Linked DNA regions of Lonchura striata. The protein of the gene in region 1 purifies or fractionates together with the protein of each later gene. This does not show direct contact. Links are inferred from orthologs where the notes say so. Each region holds a gene or a part of one and is shown in the gene's direction. Other genes may lie near its edges.

The links.
Region 2: the proteins of SEC13 (region 1) and SEC23A fractionate together in Homo sapiens (co-fractionation; 3 studies listed by BioGRID and IntAct, with this or other methods). This does not show direct contact. The link is inferred for Lonchura striata from reciprocal best matches to the Homo sapiens genes SEC13 and SEC23A.
Region 3: the proteins of SEC13 (region 1) and SEC16A purify together in Homo sapiens (co-immunoprecipitation; 4 studies listed by BioGRID and IntAct, counting the BioPlex papers as one, with this or other methods). This does not show direct contact. The link is inferred for Lonchura striata from reciprocal best matches to the Homo sapiens genes SEC13 and SEC16A.
Region 4: the proteins of SEC13 (region 1) and KLHL12 purify together in Homo sapiens (affinity purification with mass spectrometry; 3 studies listed by BioGRID and IntAct, with this or other methods). This does not show direct contact. The link is inferred for Lonchura striata from reciprocal best matches to the Homo sapiens genes SEC13 and KLHL12.

The regions. Positions count from the first base shown.
Region 1 is NC_134614.1:23,854,990-23,862,390, reverse strand, and holds the start of SEC13 (protein SEC13 homolog), read left to right. Parts: upstream 1-4,388; 5' UTR 4,389-4,484; coding exon 4,485-4,487; intron 4,488-4,661; coding exon 4,662-4,706; intron 4,707-5,659; coding exon 5,660-5,775; intron 5,776-6,212; coding exon 6,213-6,364; intron 6,365-6,916; coding exon 6,917-7,050; intron 7,051-7,401. Other genes in the region: cullin-associated NEDD8-dissociated protein 1, read right to left, coding at 352-506, 1,730-1,873, 4,002-4,069. UniProt on the Homo sapiens protein: Functions as a component of the nuclear pore complex (NPC) and the COPII coat. At the endoplasmic reticulum, SEC13 is involved in the biogenesis of COPII-coated vesicles.
Region 2 is NC_134608.1:23,826,319-23,833,151, forward strand, and holds the start of SEC23A (protein transport protein Sec23A), read left to right. Parts: upstream 1-3,833; 5' UTR 3,834-3,896; intron 3,897-3,938; exon of another isoform or gene 3,939-3,975; intron 3,976-4,313; exon of another isoform or gene 4,314-4,428; intron 4,429-6,833. Other genes in the region: GEMIN2 (gem-associated protein 2), read right to left, coding at 390-511.
Region 3 is NC_134624.1:8,862,051-8,869,971, forward strand, and holds the start of SEC16A (protein transport protein Sec16A), read left to right. Parts: upstream 1-4,921; 5' UTR 4,922-4,939; intron 4,940-7,921. UniProt on the Homo sapiens protein: Acts as a molecular scaffold that plays a key role in the organization of the endoplasmic reticulum exit sites (ERES), also known as transitional endoplasmic reticulum (tER).
Region 4 is NC_134632.1:520,414-528,179, reverse strand, and holds the start of KLHL12 (kelch-like protein 12), read left to right. Parts: upstream 1-4,765; coding exon 4,766-4,849; intron 4,850-5,075; coding exon 5,076-5,273; intron 5,274-7,766. UniProt on the Homo sapiens protein: Substrate-specific adapter of a BCR (BTB-CUL3-RBX1) E3 ubiquitin ligase complex that acts as a negative regulator of Wnt signaling pathway and ER-Golgi transport.

The DNA.
Region 1 (7,401 bases):
CCATTCAATCCCTTGTACACTGAAAATAGAAATCATCACTGGGAGATCTAATCAGGACAGATGAGATGGCTGCAGAGGAAAATCCTGTTGCTGGGAGCCTCAGGTATCCCCTGAAAAGCTTATGCATTTTTATGATACATAGTTCCAAACACAGCTCAAGTTTTCATTTAATTCTGTCTTTCATCCCATTGGTACCTCAGCTCTACTGTCCCTCCCCTGATTTCGCAGATTGTCCTCTGACAGGTGAGTAAAGAATCGGTAACTTTTAGGCTCTGGACTCTACATTTCACCCCATTTGCCAAAGGCTGGGACTGCCCGTCCCTCGGTGACAAATGGGAACAGACAGTGTACCTGTGGCAGCTGGTGGCAGCTCAGAAATAACTGTTTTGAGGCCGATGCTGGAGATGTCTCGCAGCTGTTCCTTGTCCGACAGCATGTTCGTGCAGAGTGTGTCCACGATGGTCTCCACCTGGTACTCCTTCACTTTGCCAACCAGCGGGCCCAGGCTGCAGGAGGAGAAGCCACTCAGGATGAAGTGTCCAACTGTCCTCATCCTTCAAACCATCACACTGCTCCTTCTTAAAGATCCTGGCCACCTATCTGGGAATGACTGACATTTCGCTCTAAGCACCTCCTTAGGCACGGAAAGGAAATATTCCTGGTTCCATTTTGAGGCCTCCTCATTATCACACTCTGGATGGATAAGAGACTGCAATGAGTATGGACTTACTGCAAATACAACCAGAGATAACCACGCAAAGAAGTTGAGAAGTTGGTCCTCTGCTCAGTGCCCAATGGTTTTGCTTTAAAACCCAGAATAAACCAACCCAAAGCAGATACAGGAGATACAGGAGCAGGGCCAAAAGAAGTCAGGACAGTTGGAATCAAAAAGAAAGGACCAAAGATATCAGGGAAAGAACAGGGATAGAAACAGCACGTGGTTGAAAAGAAAGGAATACTAATAGGATCCACAGCAGGAAAAAACAGAGGAACCCAAAGTTGTCTTTAAATGGTACACCTTTCTGGAGTCCTGGGGTGAACTGAGCCATTCAATGGCATTTCTAGACTGAACACGCCCACTTAGCCATGCTAGGGAAAGAGATGGGAAAGAACATGTCAGCAGCAGGATCCCTTTATCAGAGGATTCACTAATAGAGGAACCTGCTACTTTTGTTCACTTGGATTAAAAAAATATGGGAATGGTCACAGGCAAAGCAACAGCACCGGCTGCTCTCAAGAGTCAAGGCAGGGAAAAATCCAAGTGCACTATAAAGTTCAATAAAAACTCCTTTGAAGAGAAGGATTTGGACCTGAAGTTAAAGCCTACTATGTTTAGTACCATTGCTATCAAAGACAGATCTACAGAGAAAATCAGCACTGGATTTCAAAGCCTGAGAGAGGTCAAGAGGTTGATGAGCAAAATTTTGAAGTATGCTTCTGCCTGAAGAAATAAAATCCTAGGGCTCCACCTTCCACATGGTAAGGTTTGTAACAGGAACACTGAAGTACTTCTAAAATCATCTCTTGCTGCTACAAAGGTATCTGTGTGCTCACCCTTGTGAGTGCCTACAAGGGGAGAAAGTGCAGTGCCTACAACAGAGAAGCAAAGTCCCTTGCAAAGGAGGTTTGAGGGAGGTGTCAAGGGCCAGGCTCCGCTCTCACACTCTCTGCAGTCTGTGATGATTTTATTAATGCCAGGGAACATAACTATTACTGCCTAGGCTCTTACCATTTGACAGCAAGGTTCTGTACTTCCCCATTTTTGTCCTCCAGCAATTTCAAAAGCATTTTCACAACTTTTTTCTCACTGTCTTCATCTAGTTTTATTGAGTCTTTCTGCAGTTCCATCATCAGGTCATTGGTGGCCATAAACCTGAAAGAACACAAGGAGAAAGTGGATTGGCTGATGTGCAGACACAAATGCATCACCTTTGCATCACCTGGACAGAATTTGGCAACTAGTGCTAAAACACTAGTTGAAAACACACTACCAAAGAGTAACTTACAACACTGTCCTAAGAAAAAGGAAAATTAATACTATTTTACAAGTAGATAACACTTACAACATAACACTAGATAACAAGTAGATAACACTAACAGGGGTCAGGTAAACAAAAACTCTAAAAGTGGCATGTAGCATGTGTATTTTTCTCAGCGACTAAATGAAGATGGTTAACTATGCCAGAAAAAAAAATCATGATTGGTTTTTTAACCAGTTTTTCACCTGGCCTAGGAAAAGCAGTCTGGGGACTAAGAATTCACCTAGCTCTGTTCTTTCTGTCTAACTTAGCACTGGTAGTATGACCCCAGACATGGTCAAGCCCTATCACTTTCAAAAATGAAAAAAGAAAGTCATGACTTCAAGCAAACTACACCTCAGAAGTGCACTAGGCTACATTTAGATTGCTGTGAGCAAAACCAGTCAAGTAACTACCATTCCAGATTAGAAAGAAAAACAAAGACCAAATTGACAGTTTTCTAACAGGAACAGAATGGATATTGAGAAGCTCTGGAAAGTATCTCTTTTTCCAGGAGCAGGAAGTGCAGAAGGTGCTGTTATAGAACTCTGAGGTTCTAAGAAATCTCAGTGTGGCTATCGTGTGTTAGCTGCTTTCCAATGTTAGCCCCACACAGAATGGACGTCTGACAGGAACCAGGAAGTCCTCTCTTGTTACAAAATGACAGCTCCTTTTTAAATTAGGCTTTGATGTCACTCATTCAGCACATAAGAGCTCTCATGTACAGGTCATCATTTGAGGCTTCAACCTGCAAGCCCGTTCCTGAGCAGCAGTGAGGCACACCTGAACGAGGGACTGCTGTGCTGTTCCCCAGCCAGCCCAGAATCCAGCCTGAGAAAACAGCAGTAATGTGCCCTAGGATGTTAACGTGCAGTCTATTTGTGATTCTGCGAGAGCTCTTCAGCCGCACTCTGCAGTTCAGCGTCTGTGTGGAACCAGCATGACCAATTATGGCCACAGGCTGAACAGAGCCTTCCGCGGCAACACATCCCGCTTTGGCCTGGCTGCCTGCTGCCATCCTGCCCCAGGAGCTTGGGATCTCACCAGCAGACCCATCCCTGAGGGGCAACAAGAGAAGCCTGGCCCTATAACAGGTCATGTTTAGCCATGTGCTGGGAGGAAGTGGCCCTGCAGTACCTCTGGGACATGACGTGCCTGGGGTCGGGCACATCTCACTTGGAGTGGTAACTTTCTTTGAACAAAACTGTTTGTACAACTGCTCCATCACTGACTTCTTTATAAAGTACCTATTTTAACATCTGAGAACATCAGCAGCTTCTACAAAAATCAACCTACTTTTAGGCTATTAGTAGCCCCTTTCTTAGACCTCAAAATACCAAGTCTGGCCCAAATATTACCTTCCAGTTTGATACTGGGAGAACAATATGCTAAGGAATGAAATCTTTCATACATGTCAGTTTTAATTACTTTTTGATAGAGTGCCTTACATATCGAGCCATCTGCCTAACCCTAAAAAGATGTCAACTTTTCTGCTGACATAAACAACGAAATAAAAGTATCTCAGTTCTGTTAGGAAGGCACATTTTCCCATCACAAAGAAAGTTCTCCAAGCAGCCTGAGCAGAGACAGTATGTGCAGCATCTATCACGCAGGGTCATGGGGGTCTACTCACCCCTTTTAATGCACTGACTATCTCACCAATTATCAAAAGAAACTAGAAGCATTTCTGCTACGATGTTCTTTATTCACAAAACAAATAACAATTTGGAGTCCAGCTGCCCGGACTTATTCCCCCTTCCCCTTTGACCAAGCACCAGTCTAGGCAAGGGAGGGGAGCGGCGCTGGCCATGCCCCCTGAGCCAGGACACAGTGGGCTTGATGCCCCGTAAACAACAGCGCTGCGAGCTCCCGCACAGCGCTGCTGCCGCGGCAGGACCCCGCTCTGGGCAGCCCCCTCCTCCCAGGGCCCCGAGGTGTCCGCAGGTGGCTGCCGCCCGCAGGGCCCGTCCCGCGGTGCCACACCTGAAGTCCTTGTCGGTGGAGGTCATCTTCTCCAGCAGGCTGGAGATGTGGTAGGAGACGCTGGCCATGGCGGAGGCTCTGCGGGCCCGAGTCGCGGCCGCTCCGCTCCGCGCCGGGCGGCCCCGAGCCGGCGGGAGGAGCCGGGCCGGGCGGCCCTGGGGCCGACAGAGGCTCTGTCCGCGGCCGGCGCAGGACGGGGCAGCGCCCGGGGGCCGACAGAGGCTCTGTCCGCGGCCGGCGGTGCCTCTGGTCCTCGCGGCAGGACAGGGCAGTCCCGCTCCCCCCTCGCCCTCTCCTGGCCCAGCCGAGGCAGCGGCCGCCCCGGAACCCGGCACGAGCGGAACGCCGTCGCAGGCGGGCGGGGCGCGGCGGGGCCGGTAGTGCGCGGGACCGGCGTGCCACGTCTGAGCGCGCGGGCGGAGGCCGGGCCGGGAGCGCCGGGGCCGGGAGCGGCGGGGCCGGAGCAGCCGGGCGGGAGCAGCCATGGTGAGGCGGGGGGGGCGGGCGGGTCCCGGTGCGGGCCCGAGCGCAGCCGGGTGCGGCCTCGCGGGGCACCGGGCACGGCACAGGGTACGCCGGACCCGGCGGGGCGGCCGGGGATGGACCGGGGCCGCAGGGGCCGCGGCCGCGCTGAGCTCGTTGTGTTCCTTCTCCCCGCAGGTGTCGGTCATTAACACCGTGGACACGTCCCACGAGGACATGATCGTAAGTGTGCCGGGAGCTGCGCCGCCCGGGCCGGCGGCTGCTGTGGCAGAGCTGCTCTGGGGCTCTCTGCGAGCACTCGGGGCCGCACGTATGTGCTGTAAGAGCGCACTTGTGGGGTCCTGGATGCAGAATGCGGTGTGAAATCCTGATCTTGCCGTTTTATACTGCGTGGAGAGGAAAACTTTGCTGGGAGGAAAAGGGAAAATTATTTTAAATCTTAATGTTCATGTGAAAATTAAGGCTTGTTTCTGCCCGTTTCTGTGAAGTAATAGTATATTTTCTGGTACAGACCTTTGGTGGATAATAATGGTTTTCCTTTAAGTGGATGTATCTGGGAATAGATGTATTATTGTGGGTAGGCAGAAACGCTTCAAAGTAATTTGTTGAAGGTAGGAGCCCAGTTAGGTGAGCCTAGTTCTTCAGGAAGAATTTCTTCACAGAAAAGGCTATTAAGCATTGAACAAGGCTGCCCAGGGAGGTGATGTAGTCACCATCCCTGAAGGTGTTCAGGAAATGACTGGTTGTTGTATGCAGTGTTCTGCATAGTGACAAGAGATAACCTTTGGTCAAAGGTTGTAGTCAGTAACCTTGAACGACTTTTCCAGCCTTAAAGATTCTGTGGTTCAGTGATGGTGAAGTTTCAAATATAATTAAGAGCAGTATTTGTACACCCACTTGACATTTTAAGAAACAGAAATACATAACTGCTCACCTCTTCGTAGTCAGCAGCCTCTATTCCCTGTCATGAAAATGCTGTGGTTGTTGCTCAGAATTCCCTGGACTCCTGTGTAACTTTTGTGTAGTGATTGAGGAAGCAGCTGGGGAAGCTAGTTGGGCATGCGTGGGTTGTTTAGAACCGTTCCTCTGACCTGGTGTGCAGGGCCTGGGGTGGCTGTGCTGCAGCAGTCAGTGGCCGTGCCGTGCTGAGCACAGCCCTCCCGCTCTCCTTGCAGCACGATGCACAGATGGATTACTACGGCACGCGCCTGGCGACCTGCTCCTCTGACCGATCCGTGAAGATCTTCGATGTCCGCAACGGGGGGCAGATCCTCATTGCGGACCTGAGGGGGTGAGATGTCACACCAGGAGAGGTTAACTGGGGCAAAATCTTGGTGCTTTGCCTGGTGCTTTGCCCTTCTGCCCTTGGGCAGCACAGAGTGCAGGTTGACTTGCATGCAGGGTGAACTCCTCCAAGACTGCTGAGGAGCTTCTCAGAGCTGGGGTGGGGACAGAGCCCCAGTGGGAAGCACAGTGGGGCTTGATCATTCATTTAGTACTGTGCACATGTGATTTTCAAGAAGTAATATACTGCTACAAGTTGGAATTGTTTTCTGTGGCAGTGAGAGCCCTGTGCTGGGACACTAACATTGCCATCTTGGCATTACTCATTCCTCATGTCAGAGCTCTAATCCCTCCCAGCACAGCACTTCACAACGGTGATCTGTGAGGCAGCTGCAGATGCAAGGGGTTTCTCTCAGCTTTTCCTAATGATGTTGTTTCTTGCAGGCACGAAGGTCCCGTGTGGCAGGTTGCCTGGGCTCATCCTATGTATGGGAATATCTTGGCTTCCTGTTCCTATGACAGGAAGGTTATCATCTGGAAGGAAGAAAATGGCACTTGGGAAAAGACCTACGAGTACACGGGACATGATTCTTCAGGTATGGAGGGCTGGAGTGTGGAGCTGGGAAGGAAAAATGAGGAGATGAGGGGATTTGGGTAAGACTGATATAAATCTGTTACTGTTAAGTAAGAAAGTCTGTGTCAAAAGGAAAAGGATAAAAACTGAAGAGAGAGTAAATCTGTTCAGCGCTAACAAGACATTTCCCTAGGGTTGTATTGCTGGATAACCCACTACTGATTCATACCATGTGTCCATAAGTGTTGGTACACAAATAAGTCAGCTTTCAAATAAAGATGTCACGGAACTGAATTCTTGAGGAAAATATAGTTTACAGTTAGAAAAACTATTTAACCGTGCTGTATTTTGTTTTAAAATTGAAAATGTTGTGTTCAGATGATTTACCCTCCCAATGCAGATCTGTTACTCAGTAAACAATGCTAATTGGCTGGCTTCTGCTGAAATTTGACTCATTCTCAGCTTTCAAAGCCACTTGCTTTTGGTGACCGTGCCACTGATACCAGTCAGTGAATTGGTCAGTCAGCTTTAGGTAGTCGCTGTGCTGTAATCTGGTCTGTCTCGCCCTTCCCAGTGAATTCTGTCTGCTGGGCACCACACGACTATGGACTGATCCTGGCCTGTGGGAGCTCTGATGGGGCCATTTCCTTGTTGAGCTACACGGGTGATGGGCAGTGGGAAGTCAAAAAGATCAGCAATGCACACACGGTGAGTCTGGTCCTTTGGAGCAGCTCAGAGTTCCCAGAGCTGCAGATAACACCGAGGTGATGCCTCAGAGACATGAGTAGATAAGTACTGAAATGTGATGAAATTATGTGAAACATCCAGAACCAAGAATAGTTTCAGTTCATCCAGAGTAGGAAGGTATATGTTTTAGTCACTAAAATGTGAAATGTAAAGTGGAAATATGATGAAGTTCACTAAACAGCACTGGCAATGCCTGTTTATTGGGCATTATTGTTAAATACACTGCTGAAAGCTACCTGGTAAGAAATGGCCTTGGTTCTAAGTATACATGCATCAGCTGGAAAAAAATGTGGGACTTCTGTTTTTTTCCCA
Region 2 (6,833 bases), on another chromosome or scaffold:
AACTCCGTGCACACGACAGCCCAGAAATCACACCCTGTGCCCGACGGCGCTGTCCAAATGTTTCCCGAACTCTGTCATGAGCTGTTCAGTGCTCAGCCACCCTCTGGGTGAAAAACCTTTTCCTGATAGCCAGCCCAAACCTCCCTTGACACGGCTTCATGTCGTTTCCTGGAATCGTGTCGCCGGTCACGACAAGGAAGAGATCGGTGCCCGCCCGTTTTAAAGCAGGTGTTTAAACACCGGTGTGAAAGCACCGGCTGTGCCGGCGAGGGCAGCACGGCGCGGCCGCCCTGGCGCGCCCGAAGCCCGGCCCGGGCAGCACCGGCTGCCCCGCCACACTCGCGGAGAGGCGACGGGCCCGGGCCCGGCCCCACCGCCCCGCCACTCACTGGACGCGCTTCAGATACTCCTGGGGCGTCCTGGGAGGCACGGTGGGATCGAAGTCCTCGGCCAGGTCGCAGTCGCCCACGGGCAGCAGCCGCGGCATCAGCTCCTCCAGGCCCGGCTCCATGGCCCCGCGCGGCTCTCGCGAGAGCGGCGCTGCCGCGCGGCGCGCGCCTCGGCCCGGCGCCGCTGGGCGCGCCCCGCGCCCGGCGTCGTGGTTGTCCGGGCGGTTGTCCTCCCGCCGGGGAGCACAACAAGCATGGCCGAAGAGCAGCGGCAGAAGAGGGGTTGCCAATCCACTGCCCATCAAACTACGCCTATTTTTGTGGTGAAGAGGCGTAAACCTTTAATAGCTTCCTTCATTAGCCGCTGTGACATTATTCTAATATGCTGTAGTTTTTGCCAAAAATTCTTTAAAGCTCACCCGTTAGTACGCTCTTATTTTACTTGTGAAAACCCAGTATTCGTAATATTTGTCCCTTTCTTGAAATGCTTTGAGATCTGTGGTTAAAGTCAGTTATATAGAAGTTAATGATTTTAAATTTACAGAGTTCCCATTCTGGAAGGATCAATGCCTGAGCTGTTGCTGTATGAATTTTTCTGAAGACTACAATGTGAAAGCATCCACATGTCAGAAAGCAAGGTAGCATCTGTGTTATAAGTTGAGGCGAATAATTTGATTCAGCCTTTTAAGATCAATTAATAATTTTATTAATTACAGCAAGCGATAGCAAGCAAAACAGCGCTGGGTTCAGCTGGGAGCCTGGCTCCGCCAAAAGCTGACAACCTTTCCTTCTCTTCAGTCCCTTTTTATCTTGCATGAGTGGGGGTGATGAGTCTCGTTCCACCGTGGTTATCAGTCCCAAAAACAATGGATTTTACAAGTGGGGTGGTGTGTCTTCTTCCACTTCGGTTTATCAGTTTTCAGCAACAATGGGTTTCCACTGCGGTTATCAGTTCCAGCCAGTCCTGCAAAATCTTTCACAATCTTTGTGGTTACCAGTCAAGCCTGCAAATTCCATGTCCCGACTTCCCCCCCTTTTATCCTAATTTCATACTTTTGATGAACAAACAAGTCAATGCAGTTTCTCACATCTGCACAAAGGGGCATTGTTTCCCAGGTGAGACAAAAAGTGAAAGGGTGATGCTGTAATCATTTACATTGTGTATTATGAAATTCCTGTTACACAAATGTCCATCAGTATATTATCTCTTCAATTAGTTCTGCAGTGTTAGATTTAATATTTCAGAGTAGTTTGAGATACTTCTGACATAAGTTAAAAAAAAAAAAACAACGTTTTCTTTTTAACCCCCTGCAAGCCTGTATTTCAGTAGTTCTAAATAAACATCTGCCTTAACTCCTCCTCTCCAATGGCTTTTGTTTGTTTTAAATTGTTTCCAAAAGCACCTACGTGTACCAGGGAGATTTTTTTTCCTGAAACCCGGATCTAACGTCTTAGTTGAGTATGCAACAATTGCAGTCACCACTAGAAATAAAACTTGCCTACTTAAACCTACAGTGATAACTCTGGAAAGGCTGATGATCAAGACAAAAACTTTGGTGAGTCCAGCTATATAAAGTTCTTTTATAATACTTTAGTAATATTCAGAACTTATTTTTCCTATTTGTTGTAAAGTCCAGAACTACGAACTTCATAGAATCAAGCGAATCCACAGATATACGCTTCAAATATACTTCCTATCTTTAGATCACTTTTTATTCAACTTTCCATTGATACTTGTTAAGCAAAGCAACATATTTTTAATTATTGCAGATAGTATTTCTTACCAACAATGCTGATGCAATGGCTAGCAAATATGACTCAGTGGAGAAAGAGGAAAATGAAATTGGAAATGTATATATTTCTTCTCACCTGCTTAGGCATTAAGGAAGAGTGCCTTCCCCAAGAAAGGTTGCATTAATGGATATGCCTCATTGGCTAAAAAACCAAACCAAAACAAAGTAACATATAAATTCTGCATTATGAAAAATTAAAATGTTTTCAAATCTACATTCTAGATATGAATATGGAGAGCTAGCAAAATATTTTCTTATAATGAATAAATGAGTTTATATCTATTTTCTACTTTTCTTTCTCCTTGATTTTCTCTGTGGTTAGCAGCGTCATAACAGCTGCATGACTTTAAGTTTAGAGCATTGGACTGAGTTATTATGTAATGAAATTTAATTGTACTGAAGATTAATTTAAAATACTGAATATATTTTATTTGTAGTAAACTTTCAGAGTAGTATACTTTGCTGTTTTCCCTTCTTGCCCTTTGAGTGTCTTTAAATGTCAGATGCCTCTTTTTCTCTTATTTATAGAGTTCATCCTGCATTTTAGACTTCAGGACTTGCCTCTTTTTTGGGGAATTTTCTGAAAATGTTTCACAAGTTATTTGAATACTTTTGAAATTACAACACTGAGTAATTTGCTGTGCATCTGTTTGAAGTGTGGTAGGGTTTGGGGGTTGGTCTGTTTTTTTCTTTTTTTCTTTTGAGTTCAGGGTGAGGATGTTACATGTCATTGGCAAGCTCTTGCTTAATACTCCCACAAATGGCAGTGAGATTTGTGAACAAGAAAATTAAAAATCCCTCCCATAAATTCTGCTGTTGCTTAACTGTTCATGTTTTTAGTCTGAAGAGGACTGGTAAACCATACTGGAGAGAGCAATGGCAAAGAAATTCTATCATAATCACATCTGACATATAAAAAAAGAGGGTAAAGTTGTTTTAGTAATTTGTATTTGCTTGATGGTCACAGAATATTTTCCGAGTTGCAATGAAGGAGGCAGGATATGGTAGCCAGTCAGCAGAATGTTTTCCAGTCCTCCCCCATGTCTGGATTAATTGCACTACGACATCTCAGGAAAGACAGAAGTTATTGTTCTGGCCTTTCATGACAGCCTTGTGAAAAACAATTCCTAAAACTGAAGAGTTATCTGTTAACTTCAGTTTGTGGATAAAAAAGCTGACCACACTAACAAGATAAAGGATTGTTTCAGGTTTAAACCCCCAGGAATATAACTTCATTTTGTTTTTTCCCCAGGCACTCAGAAGAAACATCTAAACAATCTTCCAGATTAAGAAGTTGCCATAAGTAGTCATGGTGGAAGATGGGAATAAGCCCGGCTGTTTCGATCCCGGAGTTCGTGCCGGACGGAGCAGCCCCGCACAGAGCAGCGCAGCCACCGGCGGGGCCGCCGGCAGCCCCGGGGCCGCGGCACTGCCGCAGGGAGAGACGGCCAAACTGCCCCCGCTGATCGGGATGCACACGACCGACCTTCAGAAGACAGCCGAACAGGGTGGCCAACACACACACGCGAGCAGGAGCTGCCAAGGCGGCGGAGCCACGGTCGGAGCCGCGGGGCGGCTGACGCCGGCCGCGCTGCCCGGGCCGGGCAGGCCGGGGCGGCCGGCGGGCTGTGCCGGGGGCGGGCGGGCGGCGGAGCTCAGCCCGCCCCCGCTCTCTGCCCTTGACGTGGCGCGGACTCTCCCATCAGCCATGTTGGTGCGTCGGCGGCGCCGGGGCGGCTGCGGGCGGGCGGGCGGGGACAGCGAGCGCAGCGGGAGCGGCGGCCGGGACGCGGGTGAGCGCGCAGCGCGGCGCTGAGGGGGAGCCCGGCCCGGCGGAGCTGGGGTGCAGGGAGGGGAGAGGGGCAGCCCCTCCTCTCCCCGCGCTGGGAGGCACGGGCACCCGGCCCGCGGGGCCCCGCACGGCTGTGGGACCCGAAGGGAGCGTGGTGGGAGCTCCCCGCGCCTCCTCCGTGGCGCTGGGGGATCTCCGGGTGCCAGAATTGCTGTCGGGGCCCCCGGCGGCCTGAGAGTCCGGGGCTGCCGCCGGGCGCTGGTCAGCAGTGCCCGCGGCCTCCCGGGCCGGGCGAGCAGCCCCAGCAGCCCCAGCTCGGCCGGGGGCCGGCGGGCAGGGCCTTGAACGGCCGGGGTGAAGGGCAGCGCTCCCCGGCAGCGCCGGGGTGCTCCTGTCCCGGAGCTCCGCTGTAGCTGTGCCGCTGTGCCACTGACGAGGGTGCCTTCCAGTGTAGGTAAAACGAGAAATGCAGGCCCTGCTGCGTTTGATTATGCATTGCTTTTTTTTAAATTTAGGTACCGTAGTTGTTTAAAGTTTTCAGTGAGAGATCTGGGAGGGCAGATTTGGAGGAGGACTGCGTTTGAGTGGTGAAAATGTTAGCAAATTGCTTTAGATAACTATTTAAACTATTGTGCTCATGTATTTTAGTTCTTTGGAACCGAATTTGTATCTGGTATGTAATTTGGTCATAAAAAATGAATTAAGGGTTTATTATTAATCTCTTTTACCAGGTTGTTAGTGCCTAATAATTTGAGAGAAGAGGTGTGTTGTAAGAAAAGTGTGCAGTGAACTGTACTCATTTAGTGGTAGTTAAACACACGGTGCTGTGAGGGACTTCGACCTATCTATGCTGGAAGTCTTACAGTGCTGTAGAGAAAAATGTTTTGATTTTGTATATGCGTGCAAGGATTAGGGGATATTATTATGTGGATATTCTGTATTGGGACATATTTGTCTGTGATGTGGAAACGTTTAAAGGTGCTGATAGTCAACCAGTGACTCTCAATGCAATTCAAGTGTGGCTTCGTTTGTGACACACAGTTGAGGTTGTCAAGGTGTAGGTTTGCAAAGGTATGTTCAGCTGTGGCAGTGGGACGGAGGAAGCAAGCCAGAAAGGACTTCTGGTTTTTCTGGATATCCTAATCTGTAGCAAAGGTAAAGCAGTGGGAACTGTTGCTTTTCAGCTGGCCTGAAAATCCCTTCTCTGAGGTTTTCTGAGGCAGGCAGTGCATATTTTGTGGCACTCAGGTGTCCGAAATTTGGGGTGTAGCCTGTAGGCCAGGAGGGTTTGCTGTTCCTGTGTAATGCAATACATCTCCACACCTATCAGAAAATGTGTCTACATAGCTGTAACAATGATACCGAATGTAACTTGTCAGACCAAGAGTTCCATATTTGATGAATGATGAAATAGGTAAGCATTATTGGCTCTTGAAGAGGAAGAAAAGGACAGAAGAAAAGGTGGAGGAGATCTTGATTATTAGCCACTTTTGCCTTCTGAATATAAAATCCATAATTAATAGAAAATAACAGTATTTAACTCAGTAAATCCAACAAGTCGTTTATGTATCTATGTGTATTAGTGATTAGTCACTGCACACTGGTGTTTGTACATTGCCCTTTCAGGAGCAATAACTGAGTGGTAAAAGTAATACCCATGTACAGCCATTTCAAACATAGCTAGAGCCAAATGTGGAGAAAATGCTTTGAAGTTCAGGGCAGACAGTGTGACACGTTGCAGTGTTTGGAGCTGGATTTTGTGAGTCTATAGTTGCTGCTAGTGAATGGCTGGAATAGCCTTAAGTTGCAATTTTCTCTGTCTTCTCAGGAAATAATTTTTAAATTGAGAGAAAATTAAATTTGTGGTGATAGTGGAGATAGCTGTATTGTGCAGATTCTTGCATTAATAGCCCATTTTTCAGAGATAAAATGCCTTCAACTTTTTTACAAAACATGGATGGATTTTGATTTATTAGGAGAGAAATTTCTTAAATTCTATATCCTCTTCAAATCCCAGGCTCTTCTTTCCTCTCTTATCTGAGTTAATTTCTGTCTCTAATTTCTCTGTAGAATTACAATTTCGAGATATTCTCTCTTTTACTCAGTTTTGTCTCCCCCCTTTTCTGAAATTCGAGTAAAAGCAATGGTAGAAATGCTCTTATGCACAAAGTCTCTCATGCTCCCTGTGTTGTAATTGCCGTGATGTGTTTAGATAGGAGCAGATTTGCTCCTAATATCAGTAAGATGTGCCCATTAAAATATTGTCAGTTGATAATTTCTTAAGGATATTAACTGTGAAATGCAGCACTTCCCTTTGCTTTATGTATTTTGTTAGTCTGTTTTCTTAAAAGTTACAATCAGAATAAAAGTGTTAAGTTAGGCTGTTATTTAAAATAACTTGAAAAATTGTCAATTGTCATAGAAACTAAAGGTGCAATGCCATTATAATTTTGATAGAATTTCTGTGAGCCTCCTGTAATGTATGTAAGATCAGAACTAAGAATATCAGTGTGCTTAGGAGCATTCCTGATTTAAATTTCAACTCAGGAGGATTCCAGCATTTATAATATTCATTAACTTGTTTAAGTTAATGAATATAACACTAATTTTAATATATTATAATAGTTATAATATATATATATATATATAATATTTATTAACTTGTTTAATGAACATTTATAATGTTCATTAACTTGTTACAGTATAAATTGAGACCTAGGAGTATTTCTAGTTCACTTTAGGTGGTTCATGTATGCTTTTACAGTAAATCCTTAATTATTTGGGAGTGTGAGTTTAGATATCCTAGTTCCTGGAAAAACCTGTGCTGTATATACTATAAAAGGTACTGTGAAGCATGCA
Region 3 (7,921 bases), on another chromosome or scaffold:
TTCAAGAAAAGGTGGATTTTGTTTCAAAAATCTAAATGAGCAAGTCTTAAATATATCATAAATATATCACCTTATAGAGGTGTTGGAATATCACTCACTCGGGTGCAAAAGCAAGCAGACACCCCAAAATTAGATAACGTGTATGGGACAGGCAGATAGAGAGCAGTTAATCAAGAAAACCTAAGAAAAGGGTTCCTTTTCCTCATTCCTTTCTATTAGAACACCAAATAAAATGGATATTTCTCAAGGCACAGCGCCTTCCTGAGCACTCATCTTAGTTAACATTTCAGACCATTGTTATTGTGACACGCCTAATATGAGTGATAAAAACATCACGTGGTGTTGAATCTTCCTATGTTTTATAAACTAGAGTGTAGTTTAAGAAAAGATATCTTCTGTAATAAAGTTATCTACATGCAAAGTTGTAGTTTGCAAAAATGATGTATTTTTTTTGGTTAACTGATTTGCAATAAATGATGCTTCTGGGCATCTAGATTTTACTAAAACTGGAACTTGGTGTTTCTGTTACGGGTCAGTTGAATTCTGGATTTCAGAGCTGCTTCTTGCACAGAGGACTGGAGCTTCCTCACCATCTTGTTCTCTGTGTAAAAAAAAAAAAATCAGAGAAGAGCTTTGGACAATGAAAATTTCTCTTTAATTTCTGCTAAACTCTCACTGATTTGAGATACCTGAGCAAGGTTCTGCCCATTTAGCTCTTCACCTGCTTTGGTATCCTCAGGCCATCGAGTCAAGATCTAAAAGGGGAAACATGGAAAAATTGTTTTAAAGAATGTCCCTCATGCATCTCCAAAAAACCCAGGAACAGCAGCACCAGAGGGAGAGTTTTACTTGCGTCACTCTGGGCACAAACACCACCCAGAAATGTTTGCTGTCCTTGCTGTGCTCAAGATTTTTAAGGTAATTTCATTTCATTTCATTTCATTCTTTCTCTACCCCACAGGGACTCTGCAGTGCAAATGCAGCTGCAAAGTCCCCAGATAACTGGATATAAATAGTGGAGCTGTTGCCCTCCTCCCAAATCACATAAGCCTGGAATGCTGGTATTTTCCACTCGGTGGCTGGGGAGGGAGAGGGTTTGTGTGTGTGTCCATCCCCAGATAGATCCAGGGCCACCAAACACCTGCTGTACAACTGGTGCTGTAACAGTGGCGTTTTATTTGATTTTCTATTTTATTTTATTGTATTTTATTTCACAGCAGTGAAATGCATCTTCAGAGGTCAGGGATGTGCCATTATTCCAGGAAAGAGAGCCTCAAACTCCATGGAAAGGAGTGTTTTAAGGGAGAACAAAACCTGTCTTCCACCTGAGAAACGTGGATTCAACACCCAGAGGGACATCCTGGAGGGAGCTGGGCTTCCCAGGGATGTGTCACCCCCTTCCTGTGCCTGCATCCCATCTGGAATGCACCAAATGGAGTTTGTCTGCCTCCAGCGTGACTCACACATGAGCTGCTCAGGAATCCCACACTGCCCAGCCTTCCAGGCTTCTCCCACACATTCCCACCCCAAAACCAGCCCAGCACGGCCCCGCTGCTGCCAGTGGGGCTGGGACATCCCAAAGTGAGGAGGCCTTAGAAGGATCCTCTCTGCCTCATCCAGAGTGAAACTGAGGCACTCGTGGGCAAGGCAGAAATTTGGCCTGGAATAGATGAAAAAAAAAAAAAAATGTTTATGAGGACATGGAAAACAATGTGACATTGCAAGAGGCAGCACATGTGGGCTCGTTTAACAAGAGGGGATGCAAAGCAGGGGATTTTCCATATCAGAGGGACAGGATGAGGAAAGAGGGGGGCTAAATACCATGGAAAGAAGCAAAGGGATGGATATTAATTAATTGTCCACAAGGTAATTCAAACTAGAAATCAGCAAAGGTTTTTAAGGAGTAGGAGAGAAAGGATGCAAAAATTTAGGTTTTAAGTGCTTAGCCCCAAATTACTTTGCTTTATGAAGGCATCTGGTGACCAACCAACCTGTGGGTACATGAGATGATTGTGGTGTCACAGATCCAGCTGGGATGGAGGCTAAATTAAAGGAGAAACAAGAGAAATGGCCCCAGTTTCAAACTCTCCTGTCACACTTAAGGCTTCTTCCCACACCAACCAACCCACGCTGCCCCACCACAAGCTCACCTTCGCCTCGTGCAGGTGAAGATTTTTGGGAGCTGAATTTGAAGCTCTCCCAGCACCAGAAGATGCCAAGGAGTGACTGGATCATGGCAAGCACGGCTGTCTCAGCATTCCAGGTGAAAAAGGCACCAAAATCACATCCTGCTCCGAGGGAAGGGTGCCGGAAAACAAGATTAGCACCGGCTATTGCCATGGCAGGTATGTTGGTGCTCTGAGGAATCCCTGCACCTGAACTATTTGTTTACCTGCTGGAGGGCTTGTTTTTTTGTTGGGTTTTTTTTTTTTTTTTTCATTCTTTGTTTTCATTATTCCTGCTCAATTAGATGGGACATTTAGAAACTGCTACTCTGTATTGCTTCTCCCTCCAGGCTGTCGGTGTTTGCTCGCAGCTGCTCCAGCCCTGATTGAGGAATTGTTGCTGAAGCTGAAATCAGCCCCTGAAGAATGTGCAAAAGGAGCCAAATTCATCTCGGGCTTAAAATCAAACAGGGGTTAATGTGGCTGGGGTAGTCTGAATAATCACAGCAACTGGATGAGTAAATAAATAAGACTCAGGTTGTCCAGTTGGCTATCATGGTGCAGAATGCTAGTAAGGGATAGAGATACTCTCCTTTAGCCTTTATCCACGTTTCTAAACTCAAAGAATGATCCTTTTCATAGCAAGCCCGTGGGGCAAGGTCGTGTTTCTGGTTGTGTGCAACCTGAAGACTGAATAAATTACCAGAAAAAGGTCAGAATTGTTTGTGTTGTATCCCAGGTGAGCTGAGGAACAGAGCAGCTGTGGCTGCCCTGGATCCCTGGAAGTGTCCAAGGCCAGGCTGGACGGGGCTTGGAGCACCCTGGGATGGTGAAAGGTGTCCTTGCCCTGGCAGGGGGTGGAATTTGATGATTTTTAGGGTCATTCCCAAACCATTCTGCGATTCTGTGAAGCAGAAGAGAAGGACACACGCTGTCCTCACTGGCAGGGATTTTCATTTATAATGGGTCACTCAAGTCCAGAACTACTGCTGAGTACAGCAAACCAGCTAGAAAACATCAGGTTAAAAAGGGATTGCATGCTTTAATGTAGAAATTCTTTATAATCACGTGTTTATCAGGAGAACAGCAAAGGTGAGATCCATTGTTGGTGTTTGCATCATGTCCCCCTATATAAGGGGGTTAAACATGTAACATAAATATCTAACTATAGACACAGATGTCAGCTATTGATGCTATTTAGCACACAAAAAGCCAATCGAGCTAATTAAAATCATGTTTCCTCAGATTACACCTGTTGGGGGAAATATCAAGGGAGAAGCAGGGCTTCATCTGCAACTCCTGCCTGCGCAGGGAAATGGTGTTTGACAAGCTGGTTTTTAAGAATGTTCCTACAAAAGAGGGAGATGAAAGGCACTTAAAAATCACAGCGCTGCCTCTGGTTCCCACACCAGCATCAAAGGCTGCTTCCCCTGCTTGGCCAGGGCTTTGAGGATATTTCTCTGCTTTAATGATCCAGCATGCAGGAACAGCTCTGCACTGATAGTGACCCTTGATTAAGATGTTTGTTTAGGTTGCTCGTGTTTTCCTCTCCAAGGCTTGTTGTTGGGTGCAGGGTGTGACAGTGTCCGTGCTGGTGGGTGACAGGCATTCTTCTGGTGGCTGGAACGGGGGTTCACCCCCCTAAAAAAGCTTCGTGTTTGTGTAAAATGGAGCTGCAACTCGCAGGGCCACGAAGCTGGTGCAGGGTCCGGAGCACCCAGAGAGGCTGGGGGGGCTCAGCCTGGAGAAAAGGAGGCTCAGGAGGGAATGTTTTGCGTTGCTTCTGCGCTTTTGATTCCCAAAGAGCTGTTTTTATGGAGTCACAGACTTGTGTGGGTTGGAAGGGACTTTCAAGATCATCTCCTTGCGCCCTGTCCATCACCTCATCCTCCCTGACGGGAGGATGGACACAAGGGACAGGGTGAAAGGACACGGCCTCCAGTTGTGCCAGGGGAGGCTTAAATTGGCTATTTGGGAAAATTTCATGGCAGAAAGGGTGGCTAAACCTTAGAACTGTGCTGGAATCATCATCCCTGGAGCGTTCAAAAGGGCACACGGATGTGGCACTTGGGGACGGGGTTTAGTGGTGAACACGGTAATCTTGGAGGGATTTTTCAGCCTTAAGGATTCTGGAATTAGTTTCTGATCCTGTTTTTGGACACGTGCATCCCAGTTAATTTGCCTTTCCTAATTAGGCCCCCACGGACGTGCAGGACAGGACCTCGCTGTGCAGCGAGTCACAGCTCAGCTCCGCGAGGCATCCTCATTTCCGTGGGCACGGATTCCTCCTCTCGGGGAGCCCCTGAGCCTCCCCCGCCCCGGCCCGCGATGGGCAGCGGCTCCCGCGGGGCCGGCACCGCACCGGCGGAGCTCTGTCCCGCCCTGGCGGCCGCCCGCGACACTGCACCCGCACCGGGCAGCGCAGGGCACCGCGACCCCCGCACCGCACCGCGCTCCGCCACTCCCCGGCGGCACAGGGGAGGCGCCGCGAACGGGACTCGAACCCGCGACCTTGCATCCCGCAGCCGCTCCAGCCGGGACTCGAACCTGTGATCCTACATCCCGCAGCCGCCCCGGCCGGGACTCGAACCCGCGGCCGCACGGCAGCGCCGCCGCCGGGTGCGCGCGCCGCGGTGGCGTCACGGCGCCGTGACACGTCGGCGGCGGCGGCGGAACCCCGAGGCGGATGTGCCAAGATGGCGGCGGCCGGCGCTGGGGCCGCGCGGGGCGGCGGCGCCCGCTGCTGAGGGGCCTCGGCCGGCGGCGGCTGCCAGGTACCGCGGGGCGCTGCCGGAGAGGAAGGACGCGGGTGGGCTGCAGCGGCGTCAGGCTCGAGGCGCGGTGCCCGCCCCGCCGGGCCTCGGGGCTGTCGCAGCGCACGGAGCCGGCGGGTCCCGCCGCTCCCGGGCCCGGCTGGGGCGGGCCGTGCTGCCGCAGCCGGGGGTTTTCCCGCAGGGTTTGGGGTTCCTTGGGCGGTCCTTGTGGCTCTGCGGGGCTCCGGAGGTTGTTCCGGGGGAGCGGCGGGGGAGGGTTCCGAGGGATGCTGGCTGTGGCTGTCCCCGCTGGCAGCGCTGCTGCCGGGGCAGGGTTGTTTGGGTTGTTTTTTGCGAGCTGCCAGGTGCCCCAGGTGGGTGCAACTGGTGCTGACTCAGGAGTGCGGCTGCCGGAGAGCCTCGGCACCTGCTGGGCTGAGAACCGGTGACTGGATCCTTTTAGAATAAACCGGAATGCTTTCTGCTGCCTCTGTGCTTTTGGTTCCCAGTGAGCTGTTCTGATGGAGCCACGGACTGGTTTGCTTTGGAGGGACCTTAAAAATCATCAAATTCCACCCCCTGCCATGGGCAGGGACACCTTCCACTGTCCCAGGCTGCTCCAAGCCCTGTCCAGTCTGGCCTGGGACACTTCCAGGGATCCAGGCGCAGCCACAGCTGCTCTGGGCATCCCCACCCTCACAGGGAAGGATTTTTTTCCTGATACCTCAGTAAACCTGCCCTGTGCCTGTTTAAAGCCATTCCCCTTGTCCTGTCGCTACATTTTAACATACATAACATATATGTTAGACGACATACATATATAGGATAACATTTATAACTCTGGTTGCTGTTGAGGAAAAGCCTGGTAGGAATCTGTCAGGAGAGTGAGTGATGTAGAATGTGTTCAATCTGTCACCCACATGTGTGCAGATGTGCGGCTGCCTACGTAAGATAAAACTGAAAAAGTAGTTGCTGATTTTAAAGCTGCAAATCTCATTTTTCCAGATGTTCTGTATTTGAGATTGCACTGGGTTGTTGGGGTTTTTTTGGTTTTTTTTTTTTTTTTTTATTTGGTTGGTTTTTTTGTAGTTGTTATTGGTGGTTTTTTTAGTCATTTTGTTTTTAGGAATCTGTGTATGTGAACACGTTATTTATTGTTTGCTTCACTTGTGAGGATGAGAGTTAATATTTGTCCTCTGTAACCTGCTTTATGGCCGTAGTTATTCTGTTCAAGAGTAATTTATTTAGATAGGTTTTAATTAGTTGCCCCCAGAGGAATTATTTACTTATAGATGAAGCTATAGAGCTCATTGGGTGAACTTAATTTTATGGCCTCATCTAAAGGGTTTTAATCCTTTTTCCCTTTTTGGCAATGTTATTTTGGTACACTGGAAACGCCTTCTGCACTCCTGGTGACTCATGTTTAGCAGGCTACTCTGCTTTATCAATTAATAAACCAGCTGAAAGTTAAGAATTTCCAAACTCTACAAAGCAGAGGTGGATTGCTCTTAACTTGTGTAGTTATTTCTAAATTCCTTAAAATCAGCATTTTTGTTAATCCTGGATGAGGCACAGGAGGGTCAGTAGCACTGAGTTATCTTCTGTTTAAATTACTCGACATGGGCACATTCATTTTATTTGGACTCAGTTCCTCAAATCTTGCTTGCTTTTACTACTGTGTGCAATCTGTTAATATTAACTTTGCTTCTGAGGAAGCTGATCTCTCATACTGAACCTCTGTCATGCACCATCAAAGATCCTGTTAGAGGAATGGCAAGTTCTGCCTAAAAGTAGGACTTTACACTTATTTTAATTAGCTAATTACTGGTGCTGGCTGTTACAAAAATATGGTAAATTATTAAGATTTTTTTTTAATATGACGCTGCAAGGGGTAAAGTCCACATTAGACACGTGGAAGTGGGTATTTAAGTTGGCTTTTGTGCTCAGCTGTATTTCAGAAACAACTTTTCTATGAAAAACAGAGCTATTTATTAGATACCAATATTTTGGTCAGTGCAGTTTGTGCTTTCCAGGTCATACAAGCCTTGGCAGATGGTTTAATTAGCTTTTTTCCTCCCCAGCCCAAAGTATGTTGTATAAACACATGCTTTTATTTGGAGGGGAGAGAGGGGTTTTTGAAATCTGGTTAATACAACAAAGAACATGATGAAAAAGAAATGGGGATGCCCAGAAGAGCATGTGGAAATTGGGGTGGGGGTTTAGGCAGGACTTCCTGGAAACGTGGCTGGCAGCAAGGCTGGTAAGCACGGCCAGCTGGAAAACCTTCACCTCAGGATTGTAACAGGAGAAAAGATTGCAAAGTCCTGAAACTCTTTGTAAGCATTCCTTGATGGAATTCAGCAGCTGTGCTTCAGAAAGAACGGTGGTCACATGCAAGTAACGTGTGAAACTGATGGAGCTCTAATGCCTCTGTTGAAATCTGTTTGGTATCCTTCCCATCTTAATAAAACACAAATTTATGGAGTCTTAACTCTAGATATGGCTGTGGAATGTATGGATATGGGGGAGAAATTGAGAGTCTCTGTTTGAAAGAGGGACCTGGATTCTACACAAGGCTGTTGGAGACATTTTTCTTTAGGAAGAGTTGTTCTGATGTCCAGTAAAGGCTGTGTGCTGCGGTACTTCAGTGTGCTTTTTATTGGAATATTTTAGGTATAAATCTTTATGAAATACGTGTAGTATTTTTGATAACAAGAAACCAGAAGTGCTTTGCATTTGAACTTCTCTATAACTGTTACAGTTTTGTCCTGATTACAAACATCTGACTTTTCTGGCTGCCCATTTTATTACTCTTACTGACAAGATGCTGAATCTTAGAAGAACTCCAAATGAGAATTGCACAGCTTTTTTCTTTTATAAGCAGAAGAGCATCTGGTGTGGAGCAATTGCTGTGGGTACTTCACTCTGCATATTATAAACAATGTTTGTTGTGTGCTATGAGAAAACAAGATTATCATATGCTGATAAGGCTTCACTGAGCTC
Region 4 (7,766 bases), on another chromosome or scaffold:
AAACCAGAAGTTACTTGGCAGTAGCCTTTGAGTGCCTCTGGTCGGTGGAGGATTATCTTCCAGAGGATGAATGTTCTCAAGAATATATTCCCAAATCTGGTGGTAGCTTTTGTTAGTTTTGACATAAGAGACTTAAAGTCAACCCAATTCCAACATTTCTTCCTCTGCCTTCCCGGAACCATTCTTCTCCCACAGCACCACAATTCTGCATGCCCTGAAAGAACTGAGAATGGGACAAAACTCTCGGAGGATAAAAACTCTCGTGGGATAAAACTCTCAGAGAAAAAGGAAACTTCTAATAACAGAAACTTCAACAGAAAACATTTTCTCTCTGAATGAACAATAAAAGACATCAGTCTTGTGTCTAGAAGTACATGAGCCTCCAAAAAACTTTTTATAACTAAAGTATTTCAAATATTTTTTTTTTTTAATCAATGAGAATTGTTTGTAATGGTCCTGCCTGTACTCACGCCAAAGCTCTCCTTGCTATCTCATGGGCACATCTGATCTGTGTCTCCAGAGTTCTTGCACACTTCCACTCCTTGAACACCACAGTGCAGTGCGAGTCACATGGGCTCCGTGAGGTCCTGAAGGTGGCTTGGATGCAACCTCAGCTCTTCCAAAATCCATCTATCTGTTCCCTGAAATCCTTGTTCCTCCCTGTGGCAGACTCACACTCGTCCAAGCCATACCAAACCATACCACCTTCCCAAGTGCACAGCTGTGGGAGAACAACCCTCCCCAGGTTACTCTGCTGGGCAATGACAGCTCCAAGCACTGTTATCCCTGTGAGCTGCAGACAAGGGAGCAAGGGAGGAGTGAGAGGGATTCCAACCATGATCCACACAAACAGCAAATGCAAAACACCTGAAACTGGGCATCTGGGCTCTGCACTGCTGTTCCCAAGTAAAAGAGTCTGACTTGTCTTTCTAAGAGAAAGAGTGAGTACATCTGAGAGAAGGAGGGCTGGGGCACAGCCAGAGCAGCTGTGCTTCCTGGGGATCACATCTAAGTATTCTTAACCTACAGGACCTGCAGGCACAAACTCACATTTGCAGAAAACCAGGTTTGCTTGGCAGTGTGACAGCAGGTTCCCCAGCCTGGCTTGTGGAGGAGACACTGAGCCAGGACACACTGCAGCCTTGGAGAGCCAAGACTGTTCCCACAAATGCTGGGAACTGTGTCCCTGATGTCCCAGCACAGGGCTGGCAGAACACCTGAGTCACCAGGGAGTGCCATGTTTGGGTCAGAGCACTCTGCAGGAAGTCCTGGGGCACAAGAGCTGGCCTGACCAGCTCTGCTGCAGGTGAGATTCAGTACCATCCACCCCAAAAGTCATGGAACACAGACTTCAAAAGCCATTCCTCCACATCCCAACTGCCTCTTCAAATAGGCACAGCACAGGTGGCTCCTCCACTCACTAGGCTGGCCCTGTTCCAGTGGCAGGAGGTGTCTAAGTCCAAGCCAGTCTGAGGGAAAAACCCCAAAGGAAGCTACAGATGAAGTTCTCCCAAGTTTCTCCCTTGCACCACACCAGCTGGGACCTTTCTATGCAATCCCAGAGGACACTCCAAGGACCAGACAGGTCCTATCAATCAAGCCAAGGAACTTGGCTGTGGACATTAACCCAGACCCAAAGTGCAACTTAAATCAGAGGCCTAGAGAGCTGGTCCCACCCCACTCAGAGCAGAGCCAACACCAACATCCCATCAGGCTGCTCAGGGCCTTGTCCAGGTACATGGAAATGCCTTTGGAGCATGGTGTGTTTGTATAGAGTGTTCTAGACAGCATCACCACTGTGGGGTTGAAATGCATTCCCACAAATGGGATTACATGTTCCTTTTCAAAGCCCCTGCTCTACTTACTTGCTTATTCTGAAAGAATATTGCTGCAGTGAATTTATTTGTACATTATTTCTGAGCCCTACGATGCACCTTGCTCTTGCTTGCACAAATATGATAATTTCTCTATTTAGTTCTTTTTTCCTATATTAAAAATATGTATTTAAAAGGATAAATAATATATGCAGAACATTAATATAGAGAGCAATGCAATATATGTCACCATTCAAATAAGATTTTGTACCTAATTAACAAACATACAGTAAATTATGGTGTGCTTTTCATCCTTTGAGATATAAAGTTTAATTTCAATACGCAATTTTTACAGTGGCTGCCTTAATTTTCCTCAGTTTTATTTTCTTGAAAAAAATAATCAAGTTATAGATAGAACACCTGATCTGGAAAGGACCCACAAGAATCATGGAGTCCAACACCTGGCCCTGCACAGACACCCAACAATCCCACGCTGGGCACCCCTGGCAGCGCTGTCCAAACCCTCCTGCAGCTCTGGCAGCCTCGGTGCCCATTCCCTGGGCAGCCTGGGCAGTGCCAGCACCTCTGGGGGCAGGACCTTTCCCTGATCTCCATCTAACCCTCCCTGGCCCAGCTCCAGCTGTTCCCTGGGGTCCTGTCCCTGTCACAGGGAGCAGAGATCGGAGCTGCCCCTCCTGAGGAGCTGCAGCCCCAGTGGGGTCTGACCTCAGGCTCCAGGGTGAACAGACCAAGTGCCCTCAGCCGCTCCTCGTGTGGCCCCTCCAGACCCCTCCCTATTTCTGTGTCCCTCTTTTGGACACTCCAATAACTTCAGATCCTTCTTATATTGTGGTGCCCAAAACTGTCCCCCAGACTTGAGGTGAGGCTGCACCCCTACAAATGGTGGGGGAGCCACTGATTGTTCCCATTTGATACTATCTGGGATTTCATCTGTAGCCTTGGACAATCAGCACCAGGTGGACACAGAGGCTGACAGCTGGGAAATGAGGTGCACAGAGAGCACTAAGCAGGCAAGTGCTGCCTCTTTCCTCTGTTCTTCCAGGCTGTATCTCCCATGCATGAGTCTGCTCTCACACTCTGGTCACACATCCCTCCTGGCTTAGAGCTCCCAGAGGAGCAGATGATGATGCAGTCTCACACACATACTGGTACCTGCCTCCAGCACAATTTCTGCTTGAGTTGTATCTAGAGAATGAAGTGCTGCTGACTCAAAAATCCCCCCTGGTAGAGCATCTGCCAGCTCTGAAGGTAGTGGTAAACTGCCCTCCTTGCCAAACACTGGATTCTCATCTCCACCTGCTGGGTCTTGCCAATCATTTGCTTCTTTAGCATGTCTGAGGTCAAACAAATCCTCCAAACTCTCACTCCATGTACAGCCTTCAAACAGAGTGACCCTGGTTCTTGGAGGAGGAAGCTTTTGAATTAATGATCAGCCTGCAGTCCAGGATAATATCTCAACCTTGATGTACAGGTTTCTTAAGTCATACTCTGTTCTACATTTAGCTGGGAATTTATCTCAGGTTGTTGACAATGACTCTGCACCTGACTGTATGGATTCAGGTTTTAAAATTCATCCCCAAGCAGGCTTGGAAGCAAGCTCGAGGGCAGGAGGGGAGCGGAGGCGGCTCAGGGCTGTCAGCTGGAGGCGATCTGCTGGAGATGTTGAGTTGCATGTGTGGGAAGAGCTCAAAAATAGTATGAATTTTAAAATCCTGGATTCTAAAGCAGGCTCCTGGTGCCTGGCTCACAGCTTGGCTCCCGCAGCCCTGGCAGAGCCAGTTCCAGGGGTTCACCCGGCAGGAGCAGCACCAGGGGAAGGAGCAGCTCACACCATGCCCAGAGCTCTGTGAGGGCTCTGCCTCCAGAGCCCTGCGGCAGCGAACCGAGAACCATGGAATCACAGGATCATTAAGGTCGAAAAAGCCCTCTAAGATCACATAGTCCAACCACTCCCCAGAATTGCCATATTCACCGTAAAACCATGTCCCCAGGGGCCACATCCACACATATTTTAAACACTTTCAGGCGTGGTGATTCCACCATTCCATGCCGACTGTCCTGGGCAGCCTGTGCCAGGGCCTGATCAGCCCTTCAGGGAAGAACTTTTCCCCAGTATCCAACCTGAACCTCCTCTGGCCCAGCCTGAGGCCGTTCCCTCTCCTCCTGTCTCTGTTCCCTGTTGCACAGCCCAACCCCCCGGCTGTCCCCTCCTGTCAGGAGCTGTGCAGAGCCACAGGGTCCCCCTGAGCCTCCTTTTCTCCAGGCTGAGCCCCTTCCCAGCTCCCTCAGGGATTCTCCAGCCCCTTCCCAGCTCCCTCAGGGATTCTCCGGCCCCGTCCCAGCTCCCTCAGGGATTCTCCAGCCCTGTCCAGGCTCCCTCAGGGATTCTCCAGCCCGGCCCCAGCTCCCTCAGGGATTCTCCAGCCCTGTCCCAGCTTCCTCAGGGATTCTCCAGCCCTGTCCAGGCTCCCTCAGGGATTCTCTAACCCGGCCCCAGCTCCCTCAGGGATTCTCCAGCCCGGTCCCAGCTCCCTCAGGGATTCTCCAGCCCCTTCCCAGCTCCCTCAGGAACTCTCCAGCCCTGTCCCAGCTCCCTCAGGGATTCTCCAGCCCCTTCCCAGCTCCCTCAGGGATTCTCCAGTCCTGTCCCAGCTCCCTCAGGAACTCTCCAGCCCTGTCCCAGCTCCCTCAGGGATTCTCCAGCCCAGTCCTGTCCCAGCTCCCTCAGGAACTCTCCAGCCCCTTCCCAGCTCCCTCAGGGATTCTCCGGCCCCTTCCCAGCTCCCTCAGGGATTCTCCAGCCCGGCCCCTCAGGCTCTCCGCGCTGCAGGTCCCGCGGGGGCCGCTGGGGGGTGCTGCGGGGCCCGCCCCGGGCTCGTTGCTCGGCAACCGCCCGGCACCCAGGGGCGGGGCGCTCCGCGCGCGGCGCGATGACGCAATCAGAGCGCGCGGCAAGGGGAGAGGGAAGGGCGGGGGGAGGCGAGGTGTGCGGGCCAGGACCTCTCCCCGCGGCGGTGAGTGCGGCCGGGCCGGGCGGGGCGGGGCCGGGCCGAGCCGAGCCGAGCTGGGCCGAGCCGGGCCGGGCCGGGCCGGGCGGGGCGGGTGTCGCCGGGGCGGCCGCGCCGCGGGGTCGCGGTGGGCGGGGGCGCCGGGCGGGGCGGGCGCTGAGGGCGGCGCGGCGCAGCGCCCCCTGGCGGCGGCGGGCGCCGTGCCATGTGGCCGTGCTGGCTGTGCCCGCAGGTGCCGCGCGCCATGGCCCCCCCCAAGGACATCATGACCAACTCCCACGCCAAGTCCATCCTCAACGCCATGAACGCCCTGCGTAAGAGCAACACGCTCTGCGACGTCACCCTCCGCGTGGAGCACAAGGACTTCCCGGCCCACCGCATCGTCCTGGCCGCCTGCAGCGACTACTTCTGCGCCATGTTCACCAGCGAGGTCGGTGCTGCCGCCGGCCCTGGGTGCTCCGTGGGTGGAGGAGGCAGGGCCGCCCAGTCCTTGGGCTGTTCTCTGTTGAGCTGCTCAGCAGCTGGGCCAGCATCCCCCCGTGGGGGCCCAGGATCCCCTTGTGGTGATCCTGGATGCTGGAGTCCACTGGATACTCCCGGTGGTTGCTCAGGATGCCCCCGTTGTAGTTCTTGATCCTTTCATGGTGGCTGTGGGTGCTTCAGGAATCCCTATGGTGGCCCTGGATTACTCCATGGTGGTCCTTGGTCACTGTGAATCTCTCCATGCTGGCCCTGTAGCCCTCTGGGTTCTGTCTTGGTGGTCCTGGAGCCTTTCGAGGTGATTCTGTGTCTTCTTATGGTGGCCCCAGAGCCGTTTATTGTGACCTGGTGGGGAGTTAAGAGGTTGTGGCAGGAACTCTGGCCTTGATTCACCGTCTGCAGCGACCACCCTGTGCCCAGCGAGCTGCCAGGCTGAGCTGCCAAGCCAGAGAGTTGTGATACATTTACTTATTTTTCTAGTGGTGCTTTGTGGTTTCCGTGGTTGCGGGCATCTTTCCTGGCCTGGCACAGAGCTGTGGGAGCCGTGCTGGGGATTCTGGGCAACCCTTTCAGTGCAAGGGAGGGTGTTTGATGCATGCTCTGGGCTGCCCTTGGCACTGGCGGAGAGCTGGGCTGTGCTGCTCTCCTGCCATGGGGGTGGCTCTGAGCCCCAGGTGCTGCACCCAGCACATCTCACCTGTGAGCACCCTGGCTCTCAGCCCTTCCTGTGAAACTTGCACTACCTGTGTGCAGTTTCCCTGAGTCACTGACAGGCACTGCTTCAGCTGCAGCTGGCACTCTGTTAAATGTCAGATGCTTTGCCTGGCTTTGTCTTTATAAGTTGTAGTCAATATTACCAGCTTTCTGTTATGGAAGATGCTTTCCTTATCCTACTACCTTCCCCGTGAGCAGGGAGAAACATTGTTAAGTAGCTCACAGGTCCTAAAGCCCTCCCTGCTAGCTGAAGAATCATTGCAGCAGAGAATTATTTTTCTCTTTGTTTCACCCAGGCACAAAGGCTGTGGCAGAGCTCTCTGTGTGCCCACTTATCTCAGTGCTGTCAGGACAGCAGGTGTTTGAAGTCCTGTCTAAAGAAACCAAAATGATGCATGTGTAGCCTGACCTCAGACCAATACCTTTTTTTGTCCATATCTTCATGAAATTTGTAAATTCATCAGGTTTGTGCTCTTTCTCTGCATAAAGGAAATGTAATTAGATGATGAAAACACACAAAGCACATTCAATCCCTAGTGGCTGAAGTTCTCTGTTCTCCAGTAGCTCTAGGTGCTCAGCAGTACAGCAGAGTATCTCTGCTTCTCTAGGTTTGCCTCCATGTTCCTGTCAGTGCTTTTGACTTCTGGACTTCGTGTGCAGAGATCCCATCACTCCGTGTGCTCCAGAAGGTTCTTTGTGGCTGCTAACAAAGGCTGGGGGTTGGTGTGCTTTGGGTCTGAGCTGAGATGTCTCTCCTTGCTTCGTTACACTCGTGTTAGCTGTAACATCATAGTGACCTTCATTCAGACTTGAGAATCTTCCTAGGAAATTAAATTCTTCCTGGGAAAGTAGCTGTGCTCAGTAGGCAAAATTGCTTGTTCTCTCGTGCTCCCACAATGCCTCTGCTTTAAGGGTTTCTTTTCTTTTGCTTGGTTTGTGTTTCTTCCAAACTTGTGTCTTTGTTATGGAAACCCTAAAGTGACCAACCTGCCAAGGGGTACACAACTAGGGGCCAGGAAGGGGCAGCTTGGTAAGCCTCAGAGTGGACATGTTTCCTGTGTGTGTCAGCAACAAGTGTGTCGGGGCCTGTGATGGGACTGCTTGGACACTCTCCAGGCACTTGTGGGTGCAGGGTTTGGCCAGACTGGACTCCAGGGAGCTCAGAGTCTGTGTGGTGTCATGGATTGACAGGCCCTGCCAGGGCTTTCTCAGCTCTCCATTGCTTGCCTCCTGCAGGTCTGGGGACTGCTTGGCTGCTCTGATGTGCCAGGCTGGGCTGCATGAGGCTTTGTTCAGAATTGATTTTGGGTTTATGTCATGGCATCCCTGGCATTTTATCCTGGGGTTATGCCACAGTATTCCTGGTGTCACATCTGTGCATAGCCAGTACAGCACTGAGACTGTCAGCAGATACTGTTGTCATAAAGAACTGCCTTTGCCTCTCTGTGTCTCAAGTTTCCTTCCTTCTCTCACTTCTGACTTTTAACATTTTAAAATAAGTTCTCAGTCTAGCTTAGTATTAATTTCTTCCCATTTTATGTTCCTTCCTGTTTTACAGCATGAGAAGAAGCCACTGACCACCTGATGAACCCCAGGTTTCTTAGAGCACTTTCCTTTGCCCCTGTGCTAAGCAGTGTGGGAAAAGTGAAACACCATCAGTTTTACCTGCAGGCTTGTTCCTTGTAGTGAAAATTGCAGAGCAGTTTTATCACCCCTGGATCTTGGCTGT